Linked DNA regions of Arabidopsis thaliana. The protein of the gene in region 1 interacts with the protein of each later gene in a pairwise test. Each region holds a gene or a part of one and is shown on either strand. Other genes may lie near its edges.

Evidence for each region.
Region 2: the proteins of bZIP52 (region 1) and SUVR1 interact in a two-hybrid assay, tested with the Arabidopsis thaliana proteins (one large-scale study listed by BioGRID).
Region 3: the proteins of bZIP52 (region 1) and AT1G31760 interact in a two-hybrid assay, tested with the Arabidopsis thaliana proteins (one large-scale study listed by BioGRID).
Region 4: the proteins of bZIP52 (region 1) and TCP17 interact in a two-hybrid assay, tested with the Arabidopsis thaliana proteins (one large-scale study listed by BioGRID).

What each region holds. Positions count from the first base shown.
Region 1 is NC_003070.9:2,103,221-2,107,299, forward strand, and holds bZIP52 (basic leucine-zipper 52), read left to right. Parts: upstream 1-1,827; 5' UTR 1,828-2,012; coding exon 2,013-2,473; intron 2,474-2,553; coding exon 2,554-2,686; coding exon of another isoform or gene 2,687-2,788; intron 2,789-2,797; coding exon 2,798-2,882; intron 2,883-2,963; coding exon 2,964-3,298; 3' UTR 3,299-3,529; downstream 3,530-4,079.
Region 2 is NC_003070.9:1,045,067-1,051,467, forward strand, and holds SUVR1 (histone-lysine N-methyltransferase SUVR2-like protein), read right to left. Parts: upstream 4,799-6,401; 5' UTR 4,552-4,798; intron 4,412-4,551; exon of another isoform or gene 4,144-4,411; 5' UTR 4,131-4,143; coding exon 3,948-4,130; intron 3,914-3,947; exon of another isoform or gene 3,850-3,913; coding exon 3,787-3,849; intron 3,693-3,786; coding exon 3,654-3,692; intron 3,565-3,653; coding exon 3,433-3,564; intron 3,357-3,432; coding exon 3,086-3,356; intron 2,940-3,085; coding exon 1,921-2,939; intron 1,812-1,920; coding exon 1,558-1,811; intron 1,471-1,557; coding exon 1,404-1,470; intron 1,314-1,403; coding exon 1,263-1,313; intron 1,130-1,262; coding exon 1,033-1,129; intron 930-1,032; coding exon 901-929; 3' UTR 532-900; downstream 1-531. Other genes in the region: TOM22-I (translocase of outer membrane 22-I), read right to left, coding at 5,766-6,050. UniProt on the Arabidopsis thaliana protein: Probable inactive histone-lysine methyltransferase that acts as regulator of transctiptional gene silencing independently of histone H3K9 methylation.
Region 3 is NC_003070.9:11,371,852-11,376,085, forward strand, and holds AT1G31760 (SWIB/MDM2 domain superfamily protein), read right to left. Parts: upstream 2,451-4,234; 5' UTR 1,564-2,450; coding exon 1,351-1,563; intron 877-1,350; coding exon 751-876; 3' UTR 543-750; downstream 1-542. Other genes in the region: AT1G31750 (proline-rich family protein), read right to left, coding at 1-180; ABCG14 (ATP-binding cassette 14), read right to left, coding at 3,401-4,051, 4,145-4,234.
Region 4 is NC_003076.8:2,582,774-2,586,588, forward strand, and holds TCP17 (TCP domain protein 17), read left to right. Parts: upstream 1-1,584; 5' UTR 1,585-1,748; intron 1,749-2,098; 5' UTR 2,099-2,111; coding exon 2,112-2,840; 3' UTR 2,841-3,262; downstream 3,263-3,815. UniProt on the Arabidopsis thaliana protein: Plays a pivotal role in the control of morphogenesis of shoot organs by negatively regulating the expression of boundary-specific genes such as CUC genes, probably through the induction of miRNA (e.g. miR164). Participates in ovule development.

The DNA.
Region 1 (4,079 bases):
GGAAACAGAGGAGACCCAAGGAAAAAACGAAATCTCGAGAGAGAGAGAGTTTAGAAGGAAAAGGCCATGACCAAGTAAGAAACACAAGACAAAGAAAGAGGAAAGTAGTTGGTATTGGGTGGGAGCATTGAAGAGTGATAATACGACATTTTCTAAGTTTGACTATTTCAGGTAATGGATGAGACCGACGGAAGAGCGTCATCATAAGTTTCCGTTGCGCCGCCGCCATAACTTCACCACCTTCTTCCGTCAAAACCATTCTACTTGCTATTTTTCTTCCTTTGTTTAATGATTCCTTGTCTGACCTGTCTTTGACCTTTTTGTCGTTTTTTTAATCCTTTTTTAATGACAGTAGGTAAATCTCTTGCCAGGTGCGATGAATTTCCAAATATTGTCAATAAAGTTACCTTTTTATCCCACCTTGATTTTTTTTTTATGTATTAATTAAAATTTAAAAACGTATACCATTAGCAAATAGTAGCAATCATTGGTATATTGGAATCATATAGTATATGGCAATTTGGTCATCGATATCGTATCTTTATGTGCATTTTGGCCCCCACGATACTAAAAGTCACGAAATTTTCCAAAGTATCGACTTTTATTGGAAAATGGTGCTGATTATCAACTGATTTGTAGAAGTGTGATTAATTACCTGTAGTCATTATGATTTTCTTGAACAAAAAAAGAAGAAACAGAAGATGTATGTCACTATGTCGTATCATTACGAGAGGGAAAAAAAAGAAACAGCTGGAATAAATTACTCAAATAAGAAAAGAAATACAATGGGCACTATTAAAAAGCATAGACATGAGCTATATATTATTTATGTTTAGAGAAGAACTTTCCAACAGAATTTGGTTTTAAAAAATACCCGTTAGGTGACAATAAATGGGAGAAACTATATCTTAAGTATGTTCATTATTTATATATAAAAAAAGGGAGAATCACAATTCACAAGTATGTTGATAAATAATAATAAAACAAAAAAAAAAAAGACAAAAGAAACTTTAGCTGGTAAAAGTAAGCATCATTAGGTTTTTAATTTGAATCACTATTAAATGATGCCGGTCCACTACTTGCGTTTAAGACAATTTAGAGAGACTTAACTAAAAAACTTATTACTTAAAGCGATCAATACGACCATCTTTTTAATTATTTTGACCGGTAAACAAAGTGATGCCCAATTGCCAATTTAAGAGAAGGCCCAAAACATCCTCCTGTCCACTACAGGCGCATTATATGCTCGAGGATTTCTTAAAACAAAACAATACTTGTCTTCTTGTATGGGCCTGATAATTAAGGCCTCCGTATGATTTAGATCCAACCAATAAGTATTTTTCACTATAAGTGAATTTTACTTGTTTCCCAATCCATAGATAGTTCCATACCAAGTTACCAACTTATTATCCCACAAAACATTCTCTCAGACTCTCAGTTCATACAAGGCTTTCTGCCTATTTTTTACTTGTTAAAATTTTGACTCAAAGATACAAAAATATACACTCAGACGTGGGGAGATGTAATGCCATAACAGCTTAAATTAATAAATTTCGTTGAAGCAACTACAGAATCTTGTAATGAATGCTACAAAGAAGATTTAAAGTTAAACAAATTTAAATCATGAAATCGAATAATTAAATAAAATACAAAGAAAAAGGAAAAAAAAATAAAAAAAAAAGGGAGGGAGACAAGATGCTGCGATGGTTCACGTGCCAATGTGCCTTTTACTTTTCATCAACTAGTTTTCTTTTTAATTATTAATAAATCAACTCAATTTCGCAATTTTATAGTTAGTGACGTCACTTCTCTCTCCTCACAGAGTCGAGTTTCTCTCCTACGCTCTTCATTTCATTTCATTTGATAGAGAGAGAGAGAGAGAGAGAGAGAGAGAAAGAGCTTCGTCTTCTTCATCTCCATCATTATCTCCATTGACATTGTTCTCAATTGCGAATAATAATCATAATTATTCACACAACCAAAGCATTCATCTCTCAGATTCTCTTAAAAAAATGGAGAAATCAGATCCTCCACCAGTCCCAAAGCCCGGCGCCACTATTATCCCCTCCTCCGATCCAATTCCTAATGCCGATCCGATTCCATCTTCTTCCTTCCACCGCCGATCTCGCTCCGACGATATGTCCATGTTCATGTTCATGGATCCCCTCTCCTCCGCCGCACCACCTTCCTCCGACGACCTTCCCTCCGACGACGATCTCTTCTCTTCTTTCATCGATGTCGATAGCCTCACCTCTAATCCCAATCCCTTTCAAAATCCTTCCCTCTCCTCCAACTCCGTTTCCGGCGCTGCTAATCCTCCTCCTCCTCCTTCCTCTCGTCCTCGCCACCGTCACAGCAATTCCGTTGACGCTGGATGCGCCATGTATGCCGGTGATATCATGGACGCTAAGAAAGCTATGCCTCCTGAAAAACTCTCTGAGCTTTGGAACATCGATCCCAAACGCGCCAAAAGGTCCTTCTTCTTCTTCTTCAAATTTGTTTCTCTTTCCACAGAATTGAAGAATTGCAATGAAATTAGGGATTTGATTACAGGATTCTAGCGAATCGACAATCTGCAGCTCGATCCAAAGAGAGAAAAGCTCGATACATTCAAGAACTTGAGCGCAAAGTTCAATCTCTTCAAACCGAAGCTACCACTCTCTCTGCTCAGCTTACTCTCTACCAGGTTTCCATATTCGGCGATTCCTCGTTTGATCCCAACAGAATAGGAAAGTTCTTTCCTCTGTTTTACATACATAGACAGATCTTGATTTCAATGTTGTTTTGATTGATCCAGAGAGACACAAATGGACTAGCAAACGAAAACACAGAGCTGAAACTTAGGTTGCAAGCAATGGAACAACAAGCTCAGCTTCGTAATGGTAAGCACAAAAAAAAAAGAAGCTAATTTCTTTGTATGCATTTTGGTGCATTTCTTCAATATTTGCTTTTTGATGTTACAGCTTTAAACGAAGCGTTGAGGAAAGAAGTTGAAAGGATGAAGATGGAGACAGGAGAAATCTCTGGTAATTCAGATTCGTTTGATATGGGAATGCAGCAGATTCAGTATTCTTCCTCAACTTTCATGGCTATTCCACCATATCATGGCTCAATGAACCTCCATGATATGCAGATGCATTCTAGTTTCAATCCTATGGAGATGTCCAATTCTCAAAGCGTGTCGGACTTTCTACAGAACGGCCGAATGCAAGGGCTGGAGATTAGTAGCAATAGCTCAAGCTTAGTCAAATCTGAAGGACCTTCTCTCTCTGCTAGTGAGAGTAGCTCTGCCTATTGACGACAAGATTATGATGAGGCTCATTTTTCTGTTAATAGGTTTTTTTTTTTTTCAATTCATTTGATTCACTTTTGATTATTTATTCTTTCTTTTTTTTGAGGTGCCATTGTGCAAGAAAGGACGTACGTATACATTTGTGTTGGTTATGTGTCGTGAGTTTCGTTGTTTGCTATTCCCATTGTTTGTTCTTCAAGGAACAAAGGAGACTAATAAATTTCATTTTTCTTTTGTATACAATGATGTTTGCTACGTTTTGTTTTATTTTACTAGGAGATGGAGATGTTTAATAAGTTCATTCCAATTGGGTTAATAGTTTGATTTTGGGATCAATGATTTTGATACGACAACACCAAGGCAGTTCCTCAGTAGCTTCTTCTCCAAGACACCCTCACATCCGTCATCCCATTAGAGTTTTGAGACAACTTCTCCCAACCGGACTTCTCCATGAGACAAAATTTCCCAAACTTGGAGTCGGAGTTGAAATGAGAGACGAAGCATTGAGAGATTAGTTTTTGAGACTCTGTAAGACTGTTAACGAAAATATTCGACCTTTGAAAGACATCTAACACGATTCAACCTTTAAGCAAAGACCCATTGTTGGAGAGAACCAACAAAAGTTCCAACCTTTCCAAACTGAGCTAGCAAGAACAATAGAACATGCATAACAATAAGAACGTGGAGAGTTTAGAACATTGTTACCATGTTATCAGACGAAACATCTACTCTCTGGACTGTGGACGTCCTTGGAGAAGCTCGGTCTATTTCGCAAAATAACTTCCAA
Region 2 (6,401 bases), 1.1 Mb from region 1:
TATGCTGCATTTGTGAAAATTAATTTGGATCTCTTAATTGAATATAAGTAGAGTATAGATATTAAGTCATTAGAAACACTCGGTTTTCCAGCAAAGCACGTATACGACCGATCATGCACAGTTGGACTACAATTAAATGCTTATTATTTTCAACTGCCAATTCAGCTTAAAATTGAATAAGTTAAACATTTACTACAACTTTTGGCCATATTTTGTCAAAATAATCGTAAAATGTTAACGATGAGAATCTCATTTTTCCCGTTATTTTGATCTTTTAGATAATACGTGTTATACATTAGGATACCACTTTCGTAAAAGCTTACTTTCTTAAGCAAACAATTATAACATTCAAAAAGTAGAATGGTCAATTAAGTAACACCGATCATAACATGACAAGAGTTGTTTGTTTATAATTTGTTAATCACGTTTTGATTAAATTTCATACATAAATAGATTATATATATAGTGAGAGAGTTGTTCAACGGCAATTTTTTAGCTTTTTTCACTTGTTTTAGATGAACACACCATATGCACAAAGACAATACAATCATACTTTCCATCTCCATAAACTGAGTGATAAAAGTAAGAAGTAAAAACTTGTCCATCCTAGACTCCTAGTCTTACGATCAGGGATCCGTTGGCCCTCAACAGTGCGGAAATTTATGGTTTACTACAAAAAAGAACGTGGTTTAGAGAGATTTAGAATTAAAGATGGTCAAACTTCTAAATTAAAACAAAAGGCACTGGACCCTCGAGCTATACAGAGTTTGATCACACAATACCCAACTTAAGCTTCTTTTTTTCCCAACCTACAAAATCTATTAACCCGGACCGGTTTGGAGAGTCCCATTCACCAAAAAACAGAGGGTCTCATCACGTCTTTTCTTCTTCACTAGCCTCTCATGCTTTGTTCAAAATCTGCATGGTCTCTGGAACATAACAAAGGTAAAAAAAATTCAGTCAGTGAGATGCAGGATTGATATTACTCAGTCCCATGTAACAGAATCAACAAACTCTGATGATATTACTCACTCGTTGATCGCTTCTTGTTCCTGCAGAATCTGCTACCACACAGACAATCAAAGGGTTTCATTAGAGAGTCATTATCGTTGAAGTCAATGCCATAATCCTGAGAATGTGAAAGGGTTACATCAGATCAATGTATATCAAGATATCAGTAAGCATTAGGAATATACAATCATTTTCATCGGTATAGAAACTTCTCAGCCTAATATAAAATGGATATGCGAAATTATACACACCCATGCGAGTTCCTCCATTGCCTCGATGTCTCTTGTTGTGAAGAATGCAAGCTGGAAAAGATTACAGTTTAAACAATTTCCCCAAAACAGAAGAAACATATGAGCAAAAGATTATATATGAGACCGTCATTGTATCATTACATGATAATAATGCTGATCCGGAGTCTCGACTTGAACTGGAATCTCGATCAAGTTTGCATCAAGACATCTACATACATCAAAGGACAGAAAGAAACATCAGTTTAAAATAGAGAGAAACACCATTGGTGTTCTGAGTTTTAGGGGAAGCCATTACCTGTGGTTAAGGAACCTTGAGATATTTCCATAAAACATCCCATCAAGACACAGAGCTTTGTCACCCTCTAACCTTTCTTCAGAACCCCAATGTGCATCCAATATCACAGGCAAAGTGGGTTTATCTTCAAAGCTACGTTGGTATAACTCCGGAATTGTCAATATCTCTCCAATGTACTCACAAATAAATGCCCCTTTAGGCAGTTTCTCTAAAGTCCTAAGTCCCCAGCCTTTCCCATTTGGCGTGAAAAACACCTGATATTAAGAAAAAAAGATGACTGATCAAAAATGGAAACTAATTGATTTATATAACAAGATGAAAGAAAAACACGTAAAAGATTGTTAGTTAAGGTGAATGTTTTACCTGTAATTTGTTGTGCATTCCTCTTTGCACCACTCGGTTACCGCATCTCTTAGTGCAACCACATTTGAACCAACACTCTTTAATGGCTCCCCTCTTTAGATGCCCTTTACATGGTTCCAAAATCTCAACCTTTTTAGCTCTCTCCAATGGGCACTCTTCACAGAATCGCAGCACCTGTTTCCGTTGATCACGAGCCTCAGAGATCCGAGCTTCCAAGAATTCTTCTTTGAGTAACCCATCTAATGTGTACGCAAACCCGTTATCAACACCAATTGCACAATTGCACGACATTTCTGAAGCCAGGCAGTCTTCGATACAAGAAGTGGAGCAGCTTTGCTCATCAGAGAAACTTGAGAGCGAGAATATCACTGGAGCATCTTGAAACACAAAGCTGTGAGGCATGTAACGGAAACGGGAAGGAACCTTCTCGTTGATCTCATTCACCCATGGAATCTCAACGTTTTCTTCACCAGCCGTAATGTCCTTCATGTTGCTAATTGCTTTCCAGCCATCTCCCGAGATCTCGCATTCAGGAACAACCACCAACGGCATCGAAATGCCAACTGCACCACTTTCATCACCCGCCTTACTCATGTCACATACGGTTTCTGTTTCAAGCAACTGGCTGGTTGAATTCTTTGCCAAGTCTATGTAACAGCTACACATGTCCTTCATGAACCCAAGGACCGAAAACTCGGGGTGAACAATTTTGTACGACTTGAGGCACTTCTCCTCCATTGCTCTCCGAAGATCCTCCATAGAAGGCAAATGCAAATTCGTTGTTTCTCCAGTTGCAGGCGCGAAACTTAGACAAATCTTTGCCTCACCAGAAGTCGAAGAAGCTAATTCAACTGAAGCAGCAGCAACCTTATGCTCACTTGATTCCCCAATAGCTGAAGAAGGAGACACATCCATGGCAGTAGTATCATTGAGAATATCTTTGGTTTCCCAATCCCATTCTTGCACATGTATATTTGATTTCCCCATCTCAAGCATGGGAGCTGAACAGTTTCCTGTATCTAAATAATGAAAAGAAGTGTCAGAAGGAAACATCACAAAAGACAGATCAGGTTAAAATGCAAAGGTTTCAACATCTCATCACAACCACATAAAAAGCAATAAAAGAAAGATTACTAAGTTTTATCTTGAGTTCATGTAACAATACCTGAAATCACAGGCTTATGATCGATATTGGGTTCATCATTGAGGATAACAAGTGCACTGGCTTCAGAAACCTTCGTTTCCATAGGATGAGCTGGCAATAGAACCATTGGTGGTACTTCTTCGGGCTCCATTGACAAGCGACTGCTGGAGCTAGGACTTGCATTGTTATAAACAGTCATTGCCAACCCTCGTTCACCATTTCTGCGTACGTACCTCTTTAACGGAGGTAATTCAGTCACACCATCATCTTCATCTTCCTCTTCAGGCTGTGTCTGTTTCACCGAAAACAAAATAAACACAGGCTATATAATATGACCAAGAAACCCGAAAAACAGATACTAAACATACCTTGAGATCCTCGTTGTTATAGGAAGATGAAGATGAAGATGAAGATGAAGCTCTTCCACGTCTACTGCGCAACCTCCTTTTCAATGGAAATTCATCTTCATCCATATCGTCCTCTTCATCTTGTACCAAAGGCTGAGTTTGGTTTAACCAAAAAAAAAAACAAGTTAATGTTTCATGATGATAACAAATTCTAAAACAACAAAGATATTTAGGTCGTATACCTCAGGAGCTTTCCTCCTTCCCCTGCTCGTTGCTACACTCTAAAGAAACAAAAAAAGATCATCAAAACCTTGAGAAGAAACAACATCAAAAAACACCAGAAAATTGTCATCAAATTAAAGAAAGTTAACTTACTCTGGACTTCTTTTCCTCTTCCTTCTTCTTCTTTTCCTCTTCCTTCTTATTTTTTTCAGTGGACTACCATATGACATATCAAAGAAAGAGAACTGACTAAGTGAGAATATGTAAACAATCAAATAAAGAAAATAAAAAGTGATTAAGCAGAAAAAACAGACCTGGGCATCAGCCTCGTCGAAGATTGCATCAAGAAGGACCTTATAAGCATCCTCTTCAATGAAATCCCAGTTATTCTCATAGGTCTTGAGAAGTTTCCTGAGAAAGGCCCTTGTTTTCGTCTCTGATATTCCTAAAAGCTTCATCGCGTCACAGGCTTTCTTAATCCTAAGATTCGGTGCCATTTTCAACAAGTTTCTGCAATAACAAAGCTGAATCACTCACCAACCTCAAAAAACTTCAGAAATAAACATAGCAAAGTAACAAAAGTGGAAACTTTCATCTTCCTGCCCCACCAATAAGAGCGAAACCAGAGAAGAGAGTAAAAGAGTTAGATGTGTAACGAAACTAATGTGACTAAGACCCTGAATTTTGAGATGAAAGCAAACAAAAAAACAAATGTAGGAAGAGCCATTACCAAATACTTATTACCCACCAAAAAAATTGGAACTTTTTCTGTTTTTTTTTTTTTTTTTTTGGAAAACCGAAGGGACAACAAAGTACCAAAACCCTAAAACGTTTCAATTTTCCAGAATAAAAAAAACGAGTAGAGGTCTCGAAACGGAAAAGATTGAAGCTTTAGCAGAAAAAATGAGAAGAACTTACAAGCAAAAGAACCAACTCTGAAACTGATTTAGGGTTTTAAGAGGGTGAGACTCTGTAGTGAGAGAACCGGATTTTCGACTTTCCTCAGAGAAGAGAATGTAGTGAAAAACTGATGGTAGATTTGCTTATGCAAAGCGTATTTTTGATCAATGTATCTCTCTGTCCAAAGAAAGACGACAATTTGAAACTTTAAAAGACGAAGTGAGGAAAGAAAAGTGTATACTCTCCACGAAGGAGAGTCTTCAAAGATTTGAGAAACGCAGCGTTTGGGAGTCGTCATTGACTTTTTCTGTATGAGGCGAATAAGACAAACTAAAAGTGAACCTTTCTTTCTCTCTATGCAGTGTCAGTATGATTGACTGATTTTACTCCTTCGAGTTGACTGGTTTAACTCCTTTAAATCATATGGGCTTCATCAAGTATGGGACGGCCCACAACATATGTTTTTTCTTTTAAGCGATTGGGTCCAGGACAGACAACGTTTTGTTCTACTACAATTGAATAACCCAGGGAATTCAAGTATGATTTCAGTTTTTGGTTTAAAGTAGAATTTTGTATAGTTCTTTTGGTTCAAGTGTGAAGGCGATAGGGGAAGAATAAAATCAAGAGATTCAGTAATCAGCAAGTCAGCTAAACCAAAACCCTTCATGCAAACAGAGTCAAAATACACATTGAAAACTGAAAAAGTGGGAGTCAAAGGTTTTGTCACGAAAAGAGCAGTGATGCTAACAAGATATTTGCTGAACAAAAGAAGCATCATCAAGGTTTAGGCAGTCTATTTACAGGCCTTGCCATGTAAAGGAGTGATGATCAAATCAAAATTTGAACTAAATGGCATAAATGTTGACGAGAAATTAAGACAAGTGTAAACAGCTAAGTTTACCAAAGATCCTTACCTATATTCTTAACCAGATTGCCAAATAAAATTTCGAAGATTGATGCTCCACTCAAAGTGAGTCACAGCTATGAGATTAAAAGAATAATCACTTGTACGGAGAAAATCTCAGCCCACATCATAAATTGCCAAATAAATTAGAAGAAGATTGCTCAAACACAATCTTCAAAATAGCCAATTGAAATTCATCAAATCCCTTATGAGTAAACCTAATCTTACACAAGGAAGGAAACTAACAGCTTCTAATCGAGTAGCAGAAACAAGCATGATAATATCAAATTTATGATATGATCGACGGATTAGGGTTTCTAAAGTTACTTTAGAGCATCGCACCGACCGGTGGGGTTCCGAGAAGACTCGCCTGCTCAAAATCTATCTCGCCTAATCGATGATCTTGCTCCAACTCTAAGATCAAAGGCACGGCAAGGATGAGAAACGTCGTACCGGCGATCCACGCCGCCTTCCCGGTGCTCTTTAACAGCTTCTTCGACACGTAGACGGCATCGCAAGCGGCGCGTCTTCCCTGAGAAACGATATCGTAGTTTGAAATCTTCGCCAAGATGCTCGAATCGCCTTTGCCGGCTCCGATTTTCTTAGGCGCCATTGATTGAATGAAATCGAGAGAGATTGAAAAAGTTCAGACTAGAGACGACGACGAGGGTTTCACTTTGAAAAATAAAATTGAAAGGGGATCCTCGGCTTTAATAATGTACGGGTCAGTAGGCCCATTAAGAAATCTAATGACCCATTTACTTAACGGGCCAGATTGAGTTCCAGTGTGCGCCGACCAACACGATACGCGTCGCCTTTCGTTTTGGTTCGTCGTCTCTAACCCTATACCCCCCTCTCTTCGTGTGTAAACGAAACACACCAAAATCAAAAGCTGAGAGCTCTCTTACATTGAAGCTACTTTCGAAGATAGCATTCACTGATTGGTAAAGAGTTCTAGAAGCGA
Region 3 (4,234 bases), 9.3 Mb from region 1:
GTAAGCGGCCGGTGGATAGCCGTGAGGTGGTGGAGGATAACCTTGCGGAGGGTAACCTCCCGGTGGAGGATAAGCTCCCTGCGGTGGAGGAGGATAAGCTCCTGGCGGATACCCATGGCCGTGATGATTATGATGTGAGAAGAATCTTTTGTCTTGTTCGTGGTGGTCGTCTTTACCCATCTTTAATTAAAATCAAGAACTTGAGAGATAATAAGATGATATGAATAGAGAGAGATACAAGATATGGAAAAATGAACTATATACTATGTTATGTTTAGACACATACATGTGTGCGATATTTGGTTATGTGTAGCGAAAAAGGCTCTTAGCTATTGATTTAAACCGAAATGGACGCGTTGATGCTTGCTCGTTTTAACAACGCATTCTTATTCCTCTTCTGATCATGACACGTTTCTTCTCCATCAGAGGATAAAATAATTGTGACCATTCATATGCATTAAACAATAATAACGAAATCGTTGCTCACACGACACATTAGACTATTAGAGCAGAAAGCCATCAAAGATTAGAGAGAGGAGTAATTTCACAAAATCAAACAATATTAAGATAAAATGGTCAAACTACATAATATTCTCCGGTAGATGGATCAAAAGAGAGTTATTGTTTTGGTTTGTTAACATACCAAAGTTCAAACGGGTTTAGAGTTTCATATACAACCCGAAATGAACCACAAAAGCCAAACCATTTCTTCTTAGATAGATACAACTACGTTAGATAAACATCACCAAATCAGACGGATTTAGGGAAATGTGGTGAGAGGAGCTTCATGATCTCTGTGATTCCGACTTTGTCTTTGCCATCGAAAATCGTCTTCAACTTATCATCGCAGTGAATCTCCTTCTTGTTCGCCGGATTCTACAATGAGGCAAGAAATGAATCACTCAAACAGAAACTATGAATAATCCAGAAAACAGAGAAGTTTATGGTCTACATTAGCTGCTTGTTGTTTACATTGAACAACCAATTCAACATATAGACATCATCTGTGTGTATTACATTAAATAGACTAATTCCAAAACTCAAAGAACACTACAATTCCAAGTTCTCTAAGATAATGACCAACACAACAATCCAAGTAATCTTCACAACCAAACCCACAAGATGCTTCATGTATATAGTCAAAACCAAACAATCCATTCTCAACCACAAGATAACATGCATTTTACTCAAGATCCATGTTCTACATAACAATCAAATCATCCGCCACTAAAATGCTTAATCGATTTAGTTTACATGCAACAATTCCTTCTCTAAAGCAACCAAATCCCTAAGTTCATAAACAGATCTACGCAAAGTAAAAACCTTAGAAAGCTCCAAAATCAAACAAACCTGGAGATTGTGAAGCTTCACATACTCCCAAACTTTCTTCAGAGCGGAACCACGAGTGAGTTCCCTTTCTCCGGCGAAGCTAGCTAGCTGCTGTGACACCGGACGAGTCTTGAATATCCCTTTTCCTTCTCCGGCTACAGTAACGGCCTCAACAGTCGCCGCCTTCGACATCAGTGTCCTGAACCCTCCCAAAACCCTAGAAATTCCCGCCATTTTTTATTTCCGAAAAGAGAAACAAACAACGACTAGAGAAGAAGCTAAAACCCTAACAACAGTCAAATAGAGAAAAATTCGGCGAGAGAGACAAGAAAGACTCTTAAAAGAAGATCGCTAAACTCATTTTGGGCCTTTCATAAACTATGGGCCTATTTGGGCTTCATAAAAAACGAAATATTTAGGATGTTTTATCGAAATTAAAGGTAAATGTAAGAGCTAATGTGCAATTTAAGAAGATAGCTAAAATTCAGTTTGGGCCTATTTGGGCTTCAGAAAAAAGAGAAATAATTAGGATGTTTATCGAAAATAAAGGTAAAATGTAAGGGTTAATATGCAATTTAAAATGAACTTTTAGTCTTCGGTGACAAACGGCACCGTTTAATAGTTTGATGCCGGTCGCTATTCGTACATGGCGGATGCTCCGTCGCAACATCGCCGTAGAGAGTCTTCTTCGCCGCTGCGTCACCGTCAACTTGGATGAGACATATTCTTAAAAGGAGAACGATGTGGTGAGTGGAAACCCTAATCGATATCAGTGGTTGTTAAATGTATTAGTTGATTTTAGTTGTCTTAGTCTACTAGAGATTTTTAGTTCTTGTCTCTGAGTGGTGAATGACAAGGTTTTTCACAAACTTGGTTAATATCTATGACTTAAGAGATGACATGTTTGCTCATCTTCTCTGGTTAGTTTATCTTATCTTTGTTAAGATAAAGATGCTTATGGTCATTTAGTAGACTAAAAACGGCAACTTGTGTAGTTATTATATGTGGTATAAAGGGGGAAAGAGCATGATTAGATCATATGATGATCTCTCTTGCTTTCGTATGTATATCACTCACTAGAAAGGATGATGTATTTAGGTCTGAGAAAGCAACACAAGTTAGTGAATGACGTTTCAAGTTTTTACTTGGAAGGGTTAGAAGATGGTTCTTCTAGGTGATGATAATGACACTTGACAAAGTAGAGAGTGACATGGATTTCTCTTCTTGCATCAGCTTCCACTTGACTAAAGTGAATCACGTTTTAATGTGTAAGCATATCTTGTGGGCCTTTCTCATCCAATGATTTGTTTTTTGCTCCTCTATGTTGTTTTGCAGACACTGTAGCTTCCCCACTTCTTCTTTTTGGTTTTAAATTATTGTGTAGCTAGTAACGATGTGAAGTATAACAACAGCCATTTAAAGTTTCAATTATTCGACTCGTATTTATCATGAAAGCGAAAGCACATTATTCCTGTAGCTATTGTTGACATAAATTCTGCAGTTGAAAAAAGTCTATATGTGTGGTAAAGAAAACTTCAAAGTACCAGTAAAGTTACTTGAGATGATAAGGAGAGCCATGGTCAGGTGTGTTTGCTTATGTCCTGTCGTTGTTAGTCTTATTATCCGCAAGTTGTTTAATTATCTGATACATACATTTCATTGATTTTCACCAGTTGATATGCACTTGCAGGTGACTAGTAATGTGTAGAGATAGAGTAGACCTTTTCTTTTTAAGGAACCCCACAAAAGATACAACAATCATTTCCATGGAAGAGTGGACCGAAAGTTTAGTCACTGTTTTTGCAAATGGGAATTAGTATATACTTGGTTTCCCTTCTTATCTCATACATTATCTCACTGTTTTATTCTCAAACTTAGGAGTACTATCATCATCTAGCCTAAAATAAAAAGAAAGTCGTCGGATATATATCTCGGATACGTAAGTAAAATCGACCAAAATTCGACGACTTTTATCTTTTCTAATACTACTATTATTCCTTGGTTGCAGTGGGGAAAATTTTCTTTGGAGCTTCTTGGAGTTACTTAGTTGTTGTTACCTTCGGCTGCACGTTTACCGCAACTTCACCCGATGCAGTGCCATGTAAGCCATGAGCCGATAACCCACCAACATCACTCCCATAACAAACACGTCTATCCAGAGATTGTTCAATCCCATTGACTTGATTGCTGGGAAGTCTCCAACTCTGCACCAGACTCCTTTTGAACACTCATAGTAGTCGTCATCAGTGTATTGAATACCCAAAAGCAGCTTGTAGCAGTAGTAGCTGTAGCTTAGGTACTTGAGCCATACGATGAAGGGAGGAATTTGTTGCACGTAGTATCCTCCGGCTATGAGAAAAACGAGTGTAGTAACAGATGCTAACGTTGTGGCTTGCTTGATGTTCATAAGCAGAGCACCGAAGGCTAAGCCAAGACCTTGAGCAACAAGGACAGAATAGAGAACAACCAGTAGCGAGAGGATAAACGTTGTTGGGTCAGGTTTAAGTCCACCCATCCAGTAAATTATGAACACAAAAGCAGTTGGAAGGGCAAGTTCCAAGGGCAGGTCCCCAACGTTTCTAGCCATGAAATAGGAGGAAAGACGGTACATTCCGGAAGACCGTTCCTTGATTAGCATTCTTTTCTCTTGTGGAAATGTGAAAACCGCGTTGTATAGCGGGTAGAAGCCCCAAAAGACCGAGAAGAAGAAGAGCAAAGCAGTCTGCATTCAGAATAAATGTAGAATGATGGTTAGAATTAGAATACTGATGTCTGAATAAAATGTGTGTTAGCATCTAGAAGAAGAGAGCCTTACTCTATCTTGGATGTGAGATTTTGGAGTATGCCACCATAAAAGGCCACCAAGAAAAGCAACACTGATGACTTGGAAAATCCTGAGCTTGTT
Region 4 (3,815 bases), on another chromosome or scaffold:
GCGTTTCAATTGCACTCTGTGTTACCGTTTTGCACTCATTGTGGTTACCGTTTTGCACTCATTGTGGTTACAGCTAGGTTGTGTGACCAAACTTAATAAGATTCTCTAGCGATCAGAGAATATGGTCCGGTTTGCAGTGGTAAAAGATAAGCAGGGTTTACTTGAAATTGATTGTGGTTTTAGGACAAATCAGTTTGAAATCATTCGTTTGAGCTTCTAACCGCTTATTTCAAGTCCAAGTATCCAATTCAATATTGGTAACCGAATTAAAGGTTCGTTTTTAACCGCCATCACTAGTATGTGATCTACCGCTAGTATGTAATGTATTTGACCTCTATGAAATTGGAATCGTTCATACTTAACAAATTTCTAGGAAAAAAGGTTAAAACTATTTTCTTGTATATGCTTCAATCGTCTTGAAGATTACATAATCCAACGCACTAAAGGCTAATAAATTTTTGAAACTGAAGTCCAATCATCGTTATCTACTTCAGCCGACCTTAGGTCCCAACTAGAGAAACTTCTCAATCTCTGATTCTCTGATACACATACGCAGAGGTCTACTTATACACATTGTATACAAGCAGCTAATAATTAGTCATAAATTGTGAAACGTTTAAAAGAAAAGTAAAACAGTTTATTATAAGATATATAGTGAAATTTGGCAGTATGGCAAGAATTCACTCATTGATATAAAACCCCAATGTCATTGTTATTGAATTACAAGAATTCTTATGAAATTTAATAATTATATTTTTGTTATATGAAATTCTGTTATTGTGATATCCTGACAGTGTATATAAATAATGCTTAAAAGAATGAACTAGATATCTCACTGCCATGCAAATTATATAGTGGTCCACCATGAATCTGTATATAAGCATATTACATATCTAAGATGCTTTATTTTAACAAAAAAAAACATGTACTCTTTAATTTGGTCCATCCTCCATCTAAGACCAACCATTTTAGCTGTCAATCTATTTGCCTACTATAATATGTACAGTATTATGGAGCTCAATTGGGATCATCTCACGAAGAAAATCGAAAGGAAACCCCTAATTTTTAAAAGTTTTGGGTCTTAACATTTACTGATGCACATCACATACTATATATAATGGAATTTGCCCTATACCAAATGTAATGTATAAGTTGGTTCTCAGTAATTTTGAACTATTGTTTCGAATGATATATAGCAAAAGATCCATATGTAGTGTGTAATGAAAATGTAATTTTCTTACATTAGTATTTTCTATTGAATGGAGTCAAAGATATCGTTAAGAATGATCGTATGCATCATCAAGATTCAGGACTAGACATTCTAAAGAATGATCTCTAAGTAAGTAGATACATGTGTACACATTTTGATTATGTATATGTGTATCAGTGTATGTATATGTTTTTATTTATTATCTACTATTAGTATGGGTGATTAATGAAAATCATAGCATCTTTCTTTCCGTCAGAAAACATGTGGATAAGAGTGTCTATAGTCTACACACTACACAAATTGCTCTTTATACCTAACTAAAACCCTAGGGATTGGAGCGTATATATATATAGATATCATTTCTTGCTCAGCCTCAACCATATGTTATATTATACACTTTTAGTTTTAGATAACGAGAGAGAATAAATTATAACTGTTCATCATCTCGGTTCTTATCATTTTCCTCAACCTACGTGACAAAGAACTCACTCGATCTGTCTAAACCCAACGACTTCGTCAAGCTTACCAGTTTTTCTGTGTAAGATTAATCATCTTTTTTTCTTGCAGTAATATAATTTGAAACCTTTGTTTTCCTCTTTGGATCCTCAGATCTTCCTATTGATTCAATTGTAATCTATTTCGATTTGAGAATCACTTTCCTTTGATCTTTTTTAAGTATATATACACAAAATATCTAGTAAATTAAATTAATATGCAGTTCGAGTAATATACGTTTTCTTGATCTTAATAGGTTTTTGTTATTTACTCTATTGAAGTTGCTTTCATCTAATTAAAGTGATCACGCTTCCCAAAAATCCACAAACATTCCGAATTTGAACACTTTGTGATGACAATATTGATTTTGTTCATCTGTTTTTTGTTTTTTAGATCGACAGAGGACATGGGAATAAAAAAAGAAGATCAGAAAAGTTCCTTGTCCTTGTTGACGCAACGATGGAATAATCCGAGGATCGTGCGAGTCTCCCGAGCATTTGGAGGCAAAGATAGACACAGCAAAGTGTGCACAGTTCGTGGTCTCCGAGACAGGAGGATAAGGTTGTCGGTGATGACAGCGATCCAAGTCTACGACCTTCAAGAACGATTAGGGCTGAGTCAGCCTAGCAAAGTCATTGATTGGCTCTTAGAAGTTGCCAAAAACGACGTCGATTTGCTTCCTCCTTTGCAATTCCCACCTGGTTTTCACCAACTTAACCCTAATCTCACCGGCCTTGGAGAATCTTTTCCCGGGGTCTTCGATCTTGGAAGAACACAGAGAGAAGCTTTGGATCTTGAGAAAAGGAAATGGGTTAATCTTGATCATGTGTTTGATCACATCGATCATCACAACCATTTCTCGAATTCAATCCAGAGCAACAAGCTTTATTTCCCTACAATTACTTCGTCTAGCAGCTCTTATCACTACAACCTTGGACATCTCCAACAGTCACTACTAGACCAATCTGGTAACGTCACTGTCGCATTTTCTAATAACTATAATAATAATAATCTCAATCCTCCGGCGGCGGAAACTATGAGTTCTCTATTCCCAACAAGGTACCCTTCGTTTCTCGGTGGTGGTCAACTTCAACTCTTTAGTAGCACAAGCTCACAACCAGACCATATCGAGTAGTTCCAGCTGCAGATTATTTTTAGACGATCTTTAACAAGTTGAAGAATTCAAGTCATGTGACATGTAAGGCATTTACTATATGTACATAGAGAGAGGGAGATTTATATGGTTTAATGGTTATTGTTGGATTGATTAATCGTCACATGCGTGTATTTATAGTAGACAGTCTTATTAAAGATTATATAATAGACGCCAAATCTGATGCGAGCAAAGGTACATATTCATAATTCATGTTGTGATTGAGTTGGTAGAATATCTAATTCATTGTACCGCTACAATCAATATAAATAATATCTCTCATACAAACTTTTCACATTTGTATGTAAAGTTTGTAGTGCCTAAATATGCTATAACACAGGCCTCATTGCACGCCAAACCCTAGCTTGTACTCATATGTCCACAACCACATGCATGTGTAGTATACAAGGAACACAACACATATGATATCATCTACAAATAGAAATAAACACACTCATACACACAATGACACAAATATACGTTGTATGTATATATTTTGGGCTTAACATGTAAACTAATCGAACCGAATATTTATTTTCTTACATTTCCGAAACCAAATATGCCGCAAAAGCATTATTGAACCTATTGGAAGGATTTACGACAACTAAAACGTTTTATCCTGAATATTCATATATAGGTATATGATTTGTTGTAGCAGCTTTCCGGTAATTGGATTAATGTAAAGTGAGTAGAATCATATACTCCAACCAACAACTAGCTATATAGAGATAGATTTAGGTGATGAGTATTGCCTTATTGGGATTGGCGAATGAGAGAAGGAAAATGAGAAGAAGATGAGGCAGTTAAGACAGCAACTGAATCTGCAGTCAAGTCAAGCACTGATCCCTATATATCTTCTTTTAATTATTCTTCTTTTTTTCTTTTCTCTTTTGTCGATCCTCTTTTCACTTTCTATTAATTCTCTTTCCCTCACACATAATATACCATGGTAAATTC